Linked DNA regions of Macaca fascicularis. The protein of the gene in region 2 binds, or shares a complex with, the protein of the main gene of each other region. Links are inferred from orthologs where the notes say so. Each region holds a gene or a part of one and is shown on either strand. Other genes may lie near its edges. The genes, in order: TGFB1, ITGAV, ITGB6 and ITGB8.

Region 1 (3,802 bases), on a different chromosome or scaffold from region 2:
CTCGGCTCCCCAAAGTGCTGGGATTAGAGATGTGAGCCACTATGCCTGGCCCTAAATTTTTAATTTAATTTTAAATACTTTAAATTTTAATAAAATTAAATGTGACTAGCGGCTGTCACATTGGACAGCATGATTCTAGAGTCCCCAACCTTTTCAGAGATCCCAACTTTCAAGAATCCTGTGTCCTTAAAGAGTCCAACTCCTAAGATTCCAGCCTTCTAAGTGTTTAACGTCCTAGGATGCAAAGAGTCTGAATGTTTAAAAGTGCTCTAGATTCCTGGTGCGGAGGCTCACGCCTGTAATCCCAGCACTCTGGGAGCCTCAGGTAGGAGAATCACTTGAGGGCAGGAGTTCGAGACAAGCCTGGCCAACACGATAAAACTTTATCTCTACTAACAATACAAAAATTAGCCCAGTGTGCTGGTGCATGCCTGTAATCCCAGCTACTCAGGTGGCTGAGGCAGGAGAATCACTTGAAGCCAGGAGGCGGAGACTGCAGTGAGCCGAGATCAAGTCATTATACTCCAGCCTGGGCGACAGAGCAAGACTCCATCTCAAAAAAAAAAAAAAAAAAGGCAAGGCGCAGTGGCTCACGCCTGTAATCTGAGCACTTTGGGAGACCAAGGCAGGTGGATCACGAGGTCAGGAGTTCAAGACCATCCTGGCCAACATGGTAAAACCCCGTCTCTACTAAAAATACAAAAATTAGCTGGGTATGGTGGTGCACGCCTGTAATCCCAGCTGCTTGGGAGGCTGAGGCAGGAGAATCACTTGAACCTAGGAGGCGGAGATTGCAGTGAGCTGAGGTCGTACCACTGCACTCCAGCTTGGCAACAGAGCGAGACTCTGTCTCAAAAAAGAAAAAAAAAAAAAAAAGAGTCCTAGGACTGTATGGTCTGTATTCCTCTATCCTTCAGGGACCATCTAGGTGGACCTTGTAGCCAGCACACCCACAGCCGCCCCGCTGGTCACAGCTCACCCTCTCCAGCCCATGCCCTGACCTTCCTTCTGGCTCATGTCCTCACCTGGTACAGCTCCACATGCTGCTCCACTTTTAACTTGAGCCTCAGCAGACGCAGCTCTGCCCGGGAGAGCAACACAGGTTCAGGTACTGCTTCTCGGAGCTCTGATGTGTTGAAGAACATATATATGCTGTGTGTGCTCTGCTTGAACTTGTCATAGATTTCTAGCAGGGAGAAATGAAGGGAGGTGATCAGGGGTTTGGCAGAGGTGAGGGGAGCTGGTGCTCCCAAGTCTAGGAGTTTTGGAGCTGACAACTCTGGGGTGGAGTCAGTCACTGATACCTTTTATTTATTTATTTATTCTTTATTTTTTTTTTTGAGATAGAGTCTCGCTCTGTCACCCAGGCTTGGAGTGCAGTGGCGTGATCTCTGCTCATTGCAACCTCTGCCTCTCCGGTTCAAGCAATTCTCCTGCCTCAGCCTCCCAAGCAGTTGGGACTAAAGGCGCATGCCACCACGCCCAGCTAATTTTTGTATTTTTAGTAGAGATGGGATTTCACCATGTTGGCCAAGATGGTCTCGATCTCCTGACCTGGTGATCCACCTGCCTTGGCCTCCCAAAGTGCTGGGATTACAGGCGTGAGCCACCGCGCCCGGCCCTGACTGTGATACTTTTTAGCTGTGTGACCTTGAAGAAGTGGTTTCTCCCCCTGGGGGTTTGTTTCCTCCTCTGTAAAATGGGTCCTAACCACACTCCTCTCTCATGTAGCATCATCTGTCAAGTCGACTAAGGCTGGCACTAAGGGGAACCACTCTGTTTGCTCTGGCCTTCCTTGCCCCAAATGCAAGAGCCCCTAAAATGCAGAGTAAGGATCAAGGGCACAGGCTTTGGACTCAGATAGTGCCTCTGCTCCCTCTCGGCTGTCTGACCATGGGCAGTTAACACCCTCTTTCTGAAGTCAGTTTCCTGTTATTCTTTGAAAACCAGCAATAACATTAAGCTCCCTGCACTCCCACCCAGACTCTGTGTAACCTTGGGCAAATGAATTCCTCTCTGAGCCAGGTGCTCATCTGTAAGGCAAGACAGAGCGACTCTAGAACCCATTCCAGGATTATAGTGGGAAATTAGATGACCCAGGTCAAGCCATGTGGCACCAATTCTGTATACACTGGTCACTCAATCATGTATACATTTAAGAGCACTGGCTGGGCACGGAGGCTCACACCTGTAATCCCAGCACTTTGGGAAGCCGAGGTGGATGGATTACCTGAGGTCGGGAGTTCAAGACCAGCCTGGCCAATATGATGAAGCCCTATTTCTACTAAAAATACAAAAATTAGCCAGGCATGGTGGCGGGCACCTGTAATCCCAGCTACTTGGGAGGTTGAGGCATGAGAATCGCTTGAACCTGAGAGGCAGAGGTTATAGTGTGCCGAGATTGAGTCACTGTACTCCAGCCTGGGTGACAGAGTAAGACTCTGTCTCAGAAAAAAAAGCAACAACAATTAAAAAAAAACCACAAACAGCGCTATTTACCAGATGCTATTTAAAGCACTTTACAAAGATGAAGACATTTAACCTCACAACCTTATACTATTATTATACCCATTTAATAGATGGAGAAACTGAGGCACCAAGATTAAGTAATTTGCCCCAAGGTCACATAGCTGCAGACTGGGATTCAAACTCAAGCTGTTTAGTTCCAGAGACTGTGCTTTTTTTCCCCATCCCCCCCACCAAGAGACAGGGTCTCACTCTGTCCCCCAAACTGAAGTGCAGTAGCACAACCATGGCTCACTGCAGGCTGGAACTCCCGGGCTCAAGGGATCCTCCCACCTCAGTCTCCCAATATGTTGAGATCACAGGCATGAGCCACCGCACCCACCCAGCTAGAGACTGTGCTCTTATCCCCTAAGTGATTGTTCTACTTTTTATTATTCGTTTTCCACCCTTAACTCCCTTCCCCAGCTGGTTAGGGAAAGTGAAGTTCATTCTGGGTAGGAACGGCTGTAGTGGGGACAAAAGGAATTAAGGTGTTTTCTTTTCTTTTCTTTTCTTTTTTGAGACGGAGTCTCTGTCGCCCAGGCTGGAGTGCAGTGGCACAACCTCCGCTTCCCAGGTTCAAGTGATTCTCCTGTCTCAGACTCCCAAGTAGCTGGGATTACAGGCGCCGCCCGCCACCCCGCCCAGCTAATCTTTGTATTTTTAGTAGAGACGGGGTTTCCCCATGTTGGCCAGGCTGGTCTGGAACTCCTGACCTCAGGTGATCCACCCGCCTTGGCCTCTCAAAGTGCTGGGATTACAGGCGTGAGCCACGGCGCCCAGCCAAGTTATTTTCTAGTTTAGGAAAAGTTTGGGGTTGAGGATGAGGGAATAGGCCATCATTGAACTCCTGGATCAACTGGGGCAACTGCTTCCAGCCTCCTATAGTGGGGGTGTGAAAAGAGACTGGTGAGAAAGCCAGAGGAAACCGCTTCCTAGGGCGCCCTTAGATCCTCCTCCTCTTCCCCAGTCTCCCTCCCCACCCAGCCCCAATAAGCCCTATTCTTGGCCCGGAGGTTACTCAGCAAACCCCAAAGGAAAGGCAGAGCCTTGGCTGGGGAAGACAGATAGGGAGGAAGAGAAAGAGGAGGGAAAGGAAGGGTTGGAGGGTGCTGCGAGAGGGAGAGGCGGTCAGATGCTAGAGACAGAGAGGACCGTGGAAGAGAAAAATAGAAAGGGAGAGAAAATAGTCGCAGAGACAAAAACCATGCGTGGACAGAGAGACTAACGGAGACGAAAAGAAAGAGGCAGATGGGGACACACGTGCGAGAAGAGACACATGTGCATTTGTTGGGGA
Region 2 (2,712 bases):
CTAAAGCTAAATAGAGAGTCTTGTCTACAGTCCTACCTTGTATACCTCAACTAAATGTGCTCCTATTTTATGAATATTTTCTTAAGATTAGCTCAGTCATTTCTGCAGGAAATTATGAGATATGGCAAGGTAAATTTCAATTATTTTTAAAACACAGCAAAATAGTCAATTATTTAAGGGAAATACTTATCATTACCTAATGAGGACAGCAGTTAAAGAGCTATTAAACTCTCTATTTCTAATGCACAACATGATGTAATTGCACAAAAATAGGTATAATTGATCAGCATCCCCAGGCCTTGAGGAACTGTGAATAAATCATATATTCCTCTAGAAGGTTCACCACTCTACAGAGCCATATAAAACTACAACTTTCTACCTATGTGGCTTTTATTAAAAATTCTAGAAAATTAATTTATACTAACAAACTTCAGAAAGCTTTAAAAGGTTTTCAATAACTTGAACTGCTTATAAAAATTTTTTTAGAAGTTATTCTGATAGCTAAGACTGATTTTACACATTACCTTGCTTAAACAGGGGTAATATTCCTGTAACATTATGCTATTGCTAGAGGTAAATCAGTGAGTCACCTTAAGAGTTTTTATTCCAAGCATTACTCATAAAGTTGGGGTAAGGGGTCCAGGTTCCTGTCAACTGTAAGGATTCCTCATTGATATTGACCCATTCTCAGTAACAGTTTTGGAAATATAAGGAAAAATACATGAATGGGGGAAAATAAATTAATACTAACTAAAAACTCTGCTCTACTCTAAGAATGTACTACTTACTATAAGCATAAGCAACTATCTCAAAGAACTACATAGTATTTTAATAAAAATGCTTTTTTTATACTGTAAATAGCCAGACTAAAACAATGGAATAAATATGCTTTGAAAATAATTTCCAACCCCATATGGCTTTAAGCATTATGATATTCAGTTGAAATTAAACAATTACACAAAAGAGGCATTTGTGATTATGGAACTAATTTTTAGTATAGGTTGGCTTGAAGGATTTGACATAAAATTTATACAAGTTAAAATGTAATAAAATATTGTGGATTTAATATAAACAAAAGTGTTATAGGATCTACCCAATTTTCATATTAAAACAAAATATTGTACCTTTGTTATTAAAAGCAAGAATTTTGATGGTATCATGTATGTGTTTATAAAGTTCCACGATATAAGAGATTAAAAAAATCTAAATCTAAGTTCATGCAGTTATAAAGTCTTTAGTATCCTGAAAAGTAAACTGTAGTGTAATATGTATTAACATTAAGTACCTATACAAAAGACATAATTGCTGAGGTCCAAATTTGGACTGCTTTAAAACAACAACAACAACAAAAAATGAAATTCAATACATTAAATCAGAAACAGTAACTGAAGGAGGTACTATTTTATATAAAGTAGTAAATCAGGCACTATCTGTCTTATATACATTGAATAAAAACTATCCCTTGAAATTTTATTATTTAAATACCTAAAAACACAAGTCACTCTATGTTATTAAATGTATGTCTGAACTTATTTATCAGGAGAAGGTTGACAAATGCTCATTTCGTGGTGAATGCCAATTAGCACTATCAGCAGTAAAGCCTTGGATTTTTACTCCTCATGAAGAAAGTTTAAATCTATAATAAAGTTGCTAATTCTAGTGGGTCAAGATGTAGCATAACTTAAAAACTGCAGTTAAGTTTCTGAGTTTCCTTCACCATTTTCATGAGGTTGAAGTTGTTCCCTTTCTTGTTCCTCTTGAGGTGGCCGGACCCGTTTAAAAAAGCCCATCTGTCAGTTGAAGAAAAACCGTTATTACTGTCACATCAGTGTAGAATACGAAAAGTATTTTCTGAGTGACTATATTGCCACTAAGAAAATTCAAATTGTATTTCACAGAATTTATCTTCCCTCAAATAATAAGTAATGCTCATCAAGCATCATTCATTACAGGTCCCTTTCTTCCTTCCCTTACTTTTCATTCTTCTTTTCCTTCTGCCCTTTCCCTTTTCTTCTGTTTTCTCTCTCTCCTTCTTTGTCTCTTTCTAAGTTCGTTACTTACCCTGTACATTACAAATACCAAAACAGCCAGTAGCAACAATCCTGCAAGAACTGCTAAAATGATCACCCACACAGGCACAGGCATGGGTGCTGGCTGAATGCCCCAGGTGACATTAGTGGTAACCTATCGAGGAATAAAGATATTAGTTTTAAAAACAGTGCATTGACTTAATCAACAAATATCTGAGAAAATATTATATTTTATTTTAATGGAATTCACAGTATATTCTTTTCCTGCATATGATAATTTAGTGATTTCACATTTGGTATCAAGAGCATGCACATACACACATGAAACTCCCAATGACAGGTTGACTTCTGATTGCATCTGAAACGCAATCTTTTTTTAGACAGTCTTGCCCTGTATGTAGCCCAAGCTGGAATGCAGGGGCATGAACTCGGCTCACTGCAACCTCCACCTTCCGAGTTCAAGTGAGTCTCATGCTTCAGCCTCCCCAGTAGCTGGAATTACAGGCATGCACCACCATACCCAGCTAATTTTTCTGTATTTTTCGTAGCGAAGGGGTTTCACCATGTTGGCCAGGCTGGTCTTGAACTCCTGGCCTCAAATGATCCACCTGTCTCAGCCTCCCAAAGTGCTGGGATTACAGGTGTGAGGCACCACACCCAGCTTGAAATGATTTTTAAATAA
Region 3 (4,333 bases), about 27 Mb from region 2:
CTCCAAGATTTGAAAGTGAGGAAGAAAAGTGAAAAAGATGGGTTAAAAGTCTGCTTTTCTGTGTGGGACACAGGAGTTCCACAAGGATAGCAGAGGTACAGTGAGATGAAGTCGTTCGCAGCAGAGATGTGGTCATTCAAATTCTGGAACGCCCAAAACAGGGAGATGGAGCTAACAGATTAAATACCTAACTTACCTGATAGGCACGACTGCTCTAGGGCGGGCATGACACTACGCAAAGGGGAACTTGTTGCCCATTGACTCTCATGCTTAGAGAAAACCAAACCAATGCTCACACTATTTTCCTTGCCTCTTAGAACTCCAAGCCACTCTTGCTGTTTTCATCAGCTAGGAAAGTTAGATTTCTTCTGAAATTGATTTTGAGAATACAATTTGTTATCAATCAGTAGGCCTGTGCATGTCTGAAGCTCTAGGCCAGGCATGGCAAACTGTAACTTCCCATGATGTCACTAAGGGAAACAGTGGCTGGCCAAGGCTTCAGAATCCTTCTCAACACAGTGTCATTGCTATCCCTCTAGTCATAGCCTTTGCCAAAAGATCAGAGGTGGTGTTAACCACATGACCTATTTTCTATCTGCCCTAAGCAGAAGCCTAATTTACTTTTTGCTCCAACTGCCTCAACTGGCATCCTCATAACTACTTCTAATATTAGAGTGGCCTCTTAGAATAATTTGACTTTACAATTTGACAACAATTTGGCTACCAAGTATTATCCACAAGTAAAGTTATCAGCAGCAACTTAGGAAACTCTTAACTAAATGCTGAAAAATGCATTTAAATGAAAATTCTAGGCTGATTTGTTATTTTATCTCTCTGGCATGAAACTAATACTTCTTCAGGAAGTCAATACCCAAAAACATGTGAATTTTTCCCTCCTTGTATATTCTCAATCCTGCTTTGATACAGGAACTCAAAAAAAGGCATAATTCTCTTGGACTTTTGTTTGTGGTCGCGTCGGTCAAGGCTCTGGTAGGGGACTGAGCTACGTTTGTGCTCTCCTGTCTTCATGGATACACACTGAACTCAGAGTTTGGGTTTCCACAGGTAGAACCCAGTTCTGAGTTTGGTGTTGAGGTGTTGAGGTTTCGCTGAACTTGGTATTTGTATGATTTGATTTATGTTTAGATTATCTTTATGAGATCCAGTGGGTAGAGACTTGTTTTAAAATTCAGAAAGCTAATGCCTGTCTTTCTCACCATGAATCAGTCAGACATCACTCTCTAGTGTCTTAGAATGGCTTGGTAGATATTCCCCGATCATCTTCACACTGATTTCACATAGTTTTCAGTTTGACCAGATAAGGAGTGCCTATTTGGAACTTTGTCACTGGCATGGTACAGAGTCACTGAGTTTATGAAAATGCCATTTTTAAAAGAACTGGATAATGCCTGACCAGTAATATTTGCCCCAAACTTAAAACACATCCCTCAGAACCTAGCAGTAGTTCAGAATGGATCCTAGTACCCAGATGGAATACAACTATGATATGAACATCAAATGTATGTTTAACTTTAGAAAATCCATCTCCATGATCTCTGATTATCCAGACAGCCTCCATATTTTATACGCAACCAGTTAGAAATGGCTTTACAATAAGAGAAGGAGTGAGGTAAAATTAAAAATCCCAAGTTACATATTTTTCCAAATAATTTGACATCCACTCCTTCTACAAATTGTTTTTGAAAGTAATCACATGAATGCCATTTTGATCTACCAATGCTCACCTTCTCCTTTCCTGATTTGTTTTACTCATACAATTCCACAAAAAAGCAATTCACTATCAGAACTATCACTGAGGAAATTAACATGAGTGTAACTGCAGACAGGTTTTAAAAACATGTTGAGGTCGTTTATTTTACCTCCTGAGCACACCAGGCACACTGAGGTCCAATGAGCAGGCAGTCTTCACAGGTTTCTGCACCTCCCAGGGCACAGCCACCTAGGTTTAGACCCAGCAAGACGCAGGGATTAAGTATACTTTCAGTCATTCCATTTATGAGACTGATGGCTCTTACATTACTTGAACAAAACAACATCAAAGTTTAGTTTAGTATCCAAGATCAGTCCTCGAAATGTTAGCAATTCACATAAAAGTTTGTATTTTACATCTATCACATGTAAAATATGTGTATGTGTATTAAAAAGTATGTATGTCTTATAAGCCAAAATTATCATCCTCTTTTTTCTTAAAATGTGAAAGTTCACAAATATAGGATTATCCTATTTATTGTTCCACCTTAATTTTTAAAAATTACATGCACCCATTAAAAAATGCTTCTTTCTTAAACGAGGTATTTCTGTTTTTGAAATAAATCCTTTCTCTCTTTCAAGATTATTACTCTTAAGTGGAAGATCTTGTGGTAGAATAAAATAGAAAAGTTTCAAAAATGGTTATCACAGTGGCACTAAGTTCCATTGGGCAGCAATGTTATTTAATTCTCCTCATTAAAATGCCTGTGCAACCTTTGTATTTATTTACCTTAAGCCTAGAGCATTCATTGTGGGAACTGCCCGGTGTTTGTCTGTAATTTGTTAAAGCGTTCACTCAGTGACAAAAGAGCAATGGAACAGATCAAATAAAACATGACTTCAGATCTAGTTTCTGAACCAAATGACAAGTTTGTCAAGCATACCACGAAAGCAATATATCGGAGAACGTAGGTCTTACCTTGTACGTGATCATTCCTTCCTAGAAATAGAAAGAACAGGCAAAGCAGTTCAATCCCCATTCGCTTCAGTTCTTGCTGTGCAGACCGATTAAAAAATGAATTACCTTCAGCGTTACAAGACCAAAGCTGAATATCGTTAAAGTCTTTCTTTCTTGAAGTGTAACATTTTAAATACTACTTACACTGCTTTGAAAAGAAACTTGAGATGTAAGTTAGAAAGTTTTCTTTAAGACTGAAATGAAAACAGAGGCTACCTGGACAGGTAAAGCAGAAAAGCTGTGTTTAAAAGCAACTTCAACATGATTTACTTCCTTGTTCGCCTTATAAGGAAGGCAGGTGTACAATCACCAAGAAGGTGGGGAAATTCATTCAGTGGAAATTCTGGTGTAAGTTCTATGAGTCTCTCTGCATCCTAGAGAAAGTTATTATCTTTAGTGAAATATTGATCAATGAAATGTCAAAACAGCAATTGAAATAGTCATTTCTAAAATAATTTTAACTTAATGTAAAGAATAAAGATATTAAATAAAGCATATAGCCTATATGTGGGGAAAGTAAAAAATGAGCTTAATGAAAATAACTGAGATTTTTGTATTTCATTGCTAAACCCTTTTCAAAAAATTGAAATGAACCCTGAAAAAGAAAAATTATTATTTTACAGTAAATGAGAAGGCAGGCTAGGGAAAGCAAAGCACTGTTTCCTTATTTTTCAAATTAGATGGCATATATTTTTCCATAAGTACGAAATTCCTATTTTAAAATGATATTGGAAATAATCATAATATACAAAAACCAAAGGAGATCAAAATAAGACTGTGTCAAAAGACATTGATGACAACAATGATGAAAACAGAAATGATGGTGCCCAAGATTCTGAATCCCTCAGGCTAGGGACCAAGTTCTCTTCACAATGTGCTGTTCCAACTTCTGGCTCATGATTTGGCACATAGGAGATATTTATTTGTTGAGTGAAAGAGTGACAATTTAACATATATATGATCTATGGCTAAATCCATAAGGTTGTTTGTATTTTTCCCCCAATGTGTTCTTCAGGAGGGTGTTTTGGGATTCGTAGAGTCTGTGAACAGATAAGAATCAAATTCTCACTTCGTCACTCTCGAAACTGCTGACCTTAGAGAGACTTTTCTGTGGCCAGGCTTATGTCTGAGGAGATAATCTTTTCAAGGAGCATTACTAGGTAAGCATGTGAAACCTGTAAACAGAGGGAAACGGACTATGGTCAACAATAATTTAATTGTACATTTAAAAATAACTAAAAGACTATGAATGGGTTGTTTGTAACACAAAGGAGAAATGCTTGAGGGGATGGATACTCCACTTTCCCTGAGGTGCTTATTACACGTTGCATGCCTGTACCAAAACATCTCATGTACCCCATAAATATCTATATACCCACAAAAATAAAAACTAAAATAAAATAATTTTTAAAATAAAAACCAAAGAAAGAGAGAAACTAATTATAGACTACCTAGGCTTTTCTCAGAAGCCTATGTTATGTTCAATTTTGAACTCCATCGTATCCAAGAAGCTGGAAAAACATGGCAAGAATTCTGCAGTAACAATCCAGAATTATTGAATAATTGGAAGATGTGCATTTTGGGAGAAAATTTATGTAAAATTAG
Region 4 (4,393 bases), on a different chromosome or scaffold from region 2:
CTTTGTATATTGACAGAGACTGGGAAAAGGATGCCTTGTTCTGATTTCAGATAAGCATTCCCTTTTCAGGTCTGCAGGTGCAAGGAGGCCCATTCATAATATTTCCTTCAAATCAGTTTTAGACGCTGGGTAGAAATACAATGCTTTTTCACAAGAGCCTGACTAATGTTTATAAGCACAGTTAATGTTTTTTTTTAAATGTACTATAAATAGTAAATTTTAGAGGCAAGTGAGACTTTTTCCTTTGTCTATACATTGGGAACAAAATATACTGTTATAACACAAATTTTGGTCATTTTACTAGTGTGTGTGTGTGTTTGCTAAATCTAGAAAAGGACTTTATTACTTATTGAAACAGGATGAAATTATGCTTAGTGGAAAATTTGTTGCAACAAATGCATGCTTCTTCCATTTAAGAGATAACTGATAATGAATGTTACTTTTTCCTTTGCCTTTTCACTATTTTGAAATCAACAAACAAGCCAAAAAATAACCACAAGATCAAGAGATTTACTCTAATTTCTCCATTTCAGATAACTGAGCAAATCTCCCTGAAACAAATATTAGAAAACTATATATGCAACAATTTACTAAAGACAGCTGGATGTTTCCAAATGTTTTTATATATATATATATAGAGAGAGAGAGCCTACTTATAAGGTTATGACTTGGCTGCTTTAATTAGCTTCAGGCAAAAACTTGGCACATCAAAGTATAGGAGTAAATTTTAACCTACAAAACAATTACAACTATTAATTCAACTCTCCTTGAGCCTGAGAGGTCAGAGAAAGGATCTAATATAATTTAAGGACTTGGTGACCAAACAGACAAAAAGTGAAATTAAAAAAAAAAAAAAAAAAGAAAGTATGACAATAGTCACTGCATTGGCAAAAATAAATGTTGGGTCTATATTGAAAACCATTAAGAACTCATTCTAAACTCATGATTCGTCCTATTACTTAGTTGTATAATTTTCCAACAATCCAATCCGGTATACCACCTTACATTTGATTTTGTCTCATAAATCAAAAGTCCTGAAACACCTTCTCGTGTACTATTTGACTTGAACTTCCCTTTGTGATTTAGAGAAGGCAGGTATTATTAACCTCGTTTTACAGACGAGGACAATGAATTTCATAAAGAGTTAACCTCTCCACATCAAGGTAGCTCTGACATAAATGGTTTGCCTGGACAGAAAGCTGTCAATCCTGGTCCAGAGTTCTTTCTGCTTCTCTGTACCAGAGATGGATCTCTGTGAGGGATCAATTAGATAGTATTTTTTTTAAGCTGAAAGGATGGTGACTTAAAGCATGAATATCCCTCCAGTGTGGGTGATTCATTCAGATTGAGCACTAATGATAGTAGAAACTCGTATGCTGTCCTTTTCTGGACTCAAAAATTGAAGACTACTCCCATTATAACCAACTTATCTACAGCCTCGAGTTAAAGGCAAGTTAGTTGTTAGTGGACCCAAATGTTAGAAAGATGGGGAGAATATTCTGTACAGACGATGCCCTTAAGAATGGACCAGGGCCCCTAAATGACTTCTGTAAACAGGACACCCTGTCTTCCAAAATTCCTTTCTGTCAGGGCTTCCTCAACACCTAGGAGTAACACACAGTGCCTCCTCTGATAATTAGTCCTTGCTGTCGCTCCAGGGCAGAAATGCTTGACACCTGGCCTAGAGGCCATCTGTGCTAGAGGACGCTGCCACGCACCCGCCCTCTTGAAGTTCTCTGATGACCGCAACTTACCTGGCCGGGATGCTCTGGCTGGGCAGCTCTTCGTGCCAGCCCAAGACCTTTGAGGAAAAGAAGAAAACAAAACAAAACAACTTACCACCTTGGCCCAGTCCAAGAACAAGTGAAAGTACCCAGGCTGCCCAGAGGAACGAGGCGGGACCTCGCCGGTCGTTTTGCAGGCAGACAAATGCAGCGGTAAAAAAAGCCAGGGCCGAGCCGCACATAATGCAAAACGGCCCGCCCCGCGCCCGCCGCCTGGCTGCTTTCCGGACGCGCGCTCGCGCCTCCCAGGCGCACCTCGGGGCCCGCGGGCCGAGTGTCGCTAGGACGTTTTCCGCAGGCCTAGCAGGCTGACCCCGCGGCTCGGAGCAAGCGGTGCAGGTAAGCGGGCCCGGGCACCGCTCGGCATCTCAGGGCCCCTGCGGCCCTCCCAGCTTGGCACGGTGGGTCCCGCGGTCTCCGCGAGAAGCACCTCCTTCGACGGCCAAGGGCCCCGGCGGCGATTGGAGAGAGGGCTCTGCAAGGGCTCCGCAGCCTGGTCCGGGACAAAGAAAAGAGCTTTTGTTTCTCTCCAGCCGGTGGGGCTTCTGCTGCATAAATCAGCTTAGCGAAGAGCCAAACACAATCAAACCCAAACAAAGCCCGAAGCTGGGGGGGAAACCACCCTAATGTACATTCACTGGGTGATGCTGGATCTGTGGGAGGGGACGCCGGCGAGGTCGAGGGGAAAAAAGTCGATGGCGCATCAATCAGCGCAGTTTCTTCCACAGGTGGGCAGGGAGGCCAACTTCACTAGCTGCAGCTTTGCAGCCTTGCCTGCGGAGCAGCGGGCAAAGACAAGTCGGCAGCGTCCTGGCTGGCGAGGGAGGAAGCTCGGGATGCCAGCAACAGGGGGAGGCGACTCTGGGAGCTCCCTAGAAGCACCCGCCGACTCCCGCAGGCACAGAGCGAGGCATCGCCGCTCCCTGCCTGGCGGGGAGTGGGGCCCGCGGCTGCGAGCGCAGGAGGGGAGGTTCCGCTGGGTGCCGGAGCCCGGCTACGCGGGGCGGGGGCTGCTTGCCCTTGTCCTGTCGGCCCCAGTGCGCGGCTCAGGCGTCCCGCAGTCCAGAGCCCGAGTTGCTGGCGCGCTCTGGGGTGCACACGGCGAGGATGCGAGAGAGGCGAGGGCGGCGATGGGCGGGAGAGGGGTGGTCCTGCTCTGGCCCCCCGGGGGGCTTCAGACCTGCGGGTAGCCCGGTACACTCAGGGCAGAGAGTTGCTAGGAAACCTCCCCACGCTACCGGAGCGCCTCGGCTCGGCTGCCCGCAGGCGCGGCTGCAGCCCGGGCAGGAGCAGCAGTAACAGCTCCGAGCAGCGTGGGCGGGACATTGGTGAGGCATGAAGTCACCACGGCCCACACTCGCTCTTTGTTTTGCTCACTCCAGCTCTTTTTTTCCCCCCTTGGCTCTGATAGTTGCCATTCCCATCGTTCACAAGAACTCCTGAAGCGTAGCCGCGCAACAGGAATGGCACGCCTCGTTCCCTTCTCCCTCCTCCCCCGAATCCTTGCACCCCAACGCTCGCGGGGGTGGTGGGAGACTCGCTCAGCGCCAGCAGCAGCTGCGAGCAAACCCCAATCTCTCACCCCCGCGCTGCTCGCCGCTTTGTTCGGAGATACTCACTGCCCCGCAGCTGCTGCATACAAAGTGGAGTCAAGGGACCGCCCCTGCCCCCAACGCCCTCTACTCAGCACTTTGCTTGCAGTTAGGAGCTCGTCCTCTGCCCCACCACAAGGCTGCCCCGGTCTCCCTAGCCTTTGGAGAGTTGGACCAGTCTGCAGGGGCTGTTCCCGGAGCGACTGGCCGAGATTTCTCGCTGCTCCTTCCCTACTCAAAACCTTAACCCTGGGCTGGACAGCCCTGTTTTTCCCCAGCGTCTGGTGGTGGCTCTGGGCTTTTGCAAGTTACAGTGGGTCTTTTGATCTTAAGCGTCACCTTCCCAGTAAACGGAACAAAGAAGTTACAGACAGCAGCTAAGTGGGGAGAGGGGAGCTGAGGAGAGAAGGTGGGAGGCGTTTCTGCCTGCTTGCAGCTCAGAAATTTAGGTGCAAGTAGGATGCGGGTGTTATGCTGGGCAACTGTCCGGGAAGCAGCGCGCCTCCTCGGGTCCTGTCATTACCACTCTAAGTCGAGGGAGGGAACTCAGTCCCCCGCATTGGAAACGAGGCAGTGTTTCCAGTTCAACACTGTGATGGTTCTCTTTTCCCTCTAGGGGCAGGAGTGATTCCCAGTCCAGAAGTTTGACCTCTTATTTTAATACAACACCCGCCTCTTACAGGCAACAGACCAGTCCAGCCAGGTCAACGTGAAATATGCGGGAGTTTCCCCCCTTCTTATTTAATAGTTTCCGTCTCCTTATTTTTAGTTAAAAAAAAAAAAAAGGTAGGAGGCGTGCTCTCTCTCTCTTTTTCTTTCTGTTGACTGAGTGAATGGAAAGTACCTGGTTCATAAACCACAACATCGAAACTCCCCCTTTCAGGTGTGGACTGCACAGCGAGGTGCACAGAATTAGTTAAGCAAACCAGGAACCCAGCTAGAAAATTAAACGCGCCCTGGATCTACAAAGCAGGTCCCTTCGAGAGACCAAAGCCGTGATCCCAACCTTAGCAACAT

Evidence for each region.
Region 1: the proteins of ITGAV (region 2) and TGFB1 are in contact, whole or in part, in a crystal structure (PDB 5FFO), measured with the Homo sapiens proteins. The link is inferred for Macaca fascicularis from reciprocal best matches to the Homo sapiens genes ITGAV and TGFB1. Residues at the interface, in NP_002201.2 of Homo sapiens: Asp178, Asp180, Phe207, Tyr208, Gln210, Ala245, Asp248; in NP_000651.3 of Homo sapiens: Gly242, Arg243, Arg244, Gly245.
Region 3: the proteins of ITGAV (region 2) and ITGB6 are in contact, whole or in part, in a crystal structure (PDB 9CZA), measured with the Homo sapiens proteins. The link is inferred for Macaca fascicularis from reciprocal best matches to the Homo sapiens genes ITGAV and ITGB6. Residues at the interface, in NP_002201.2 of Homo sapiens: Tyr48, Phe51, Lys72, Trp123, Leu141, His143, Gln150, Glu151, Arg152, Pro154, Asp178, Ala179, Phe184, Gln186, Phe189, Pro204, Tyr208, Trp209, Asp249, Tyr251, Tyr254, Pro274, Arg275, Arg278, Thr279, Met302, Ala303, Tyr305, Phe308, Pro328; in NP_000879.2 of Homo sapiens: Ser183, Pro184, Phe185, Lys187, Thr188, Thr189, Pro190, Ile236, Asp237, Thr238, Pro239, Asp273, Ser274, His275, Phe276, Gly277, Met278, Asp279, Lys281, Leu282, Ala283, Gly284, Val286, Pro288, Glu308, Thr311, Ile312, Gly313, Gln314, Ile316.
Region 4: the proteins of ITGAV (region 2) and ITGB8 are in contact, whole or in part, in a cryo-EM structure (PDB 8TCF), measured with the Homo sapiens proteins. The link is inferred for Macaca fascicularis from reciprocal best matches to the Homo sapiens genes ITGAV and ITGB8. Residues at the interface, in NP_002201.2 of Homo sapiens: Tyr48, Phe51, Trp123, Leu141, His143, Gln150, Glu151, Arg152, Pro154, Phe184, Gln186, Phe189, Pro204, Trp209, Asp249, Tyr251, Tyr254, Arg275, Arg278, Thr279, Gln301, Met302, Ala303, Tyr305, Phe308, Pro328, Leu329, Met331, Ser335, Asp336; in NP_002205.1 of Homo sapiens: Ser197, Pro198, Ile202, His203, Pro204, Arg206, Ile250, Asp251, Thr252, Pro253, Thr287, Ser288, His289, Leu290, Ala291, Leu292, Asp293, Lys295, Leu296, Gly298, Val300, Pro302, Glu321, Ser324, Leu325, Gly326, Gln327, Glu330, His349, Trp350.

The regions. Positions count from the first base shown.
Region 1 is NC_088393.1:48,488,776-48,492,577, forward strand, and holds part of TGFB1 (transforming growth factor beta-1 proprotein), read right to left. Parts: intron 1,187-3,802; coding exon 1,026-1,186; intron 1-1,025. UniProt on the Homo sapiens protein: Transforming growth factor beta-1 proprotein: Precursor of the Latency-associated peptide (LAP) and Transforming growth factor beta-1 (TGF-beta-1) chains, which constitute the regulatory and active subunit of TGF-beta-1, respectively.
Region 2 is NC_088386.1:82,260,728-82,263,439, reverse strand, and holds part of ITGAV (integrin alpha-V), read right to left. Parts: intron 2,185-2,712; coding exon 2,062-2,184; intron 1,791-2,061; coding exon 1,695-1,790; 3' UTR 1-1,694.
Region 3 is NC_088386.1:55,629,372-55,633,704, forward strand, and holds the start of ITGB6 (integrin beta-6), read right to left. Parts: upstream 2,960-4,333; 5' UTR 2,751-2,959; coding exon 2,690-2,750; intron 1,961-2,689; coding exon 1,881-1,960; intron 1-1,880. UniProt on the Homo sapiens protein: Integrin alpha-V:beta-6 (ITGAV:ITGB6) is a receptor for fibronectin and cytotactin. It recognizes the sequence R-G-D in its ligands. Internalization of integrin alpha-V/beta-6 via clathrin-mediated endocytosis promotes carcinoma cell invasion.
Region 4 is NC_088377.1:109,882,996-109,887,388, forward strand, and holds the start of ITGB8 (integrin beta-8), read right to left. Parts: upstream 3,085-4,393; 5' UTR 1,967-3,084; coding exon 1,840-1,966; intron 1-1,839. UniProt on the Homo sapiens protein: Integrin alpha-V:beta-8 (ITGAV:ITGB8) is a receptor for fibronectin. It recognizes the sequence R-G-D in its ligands.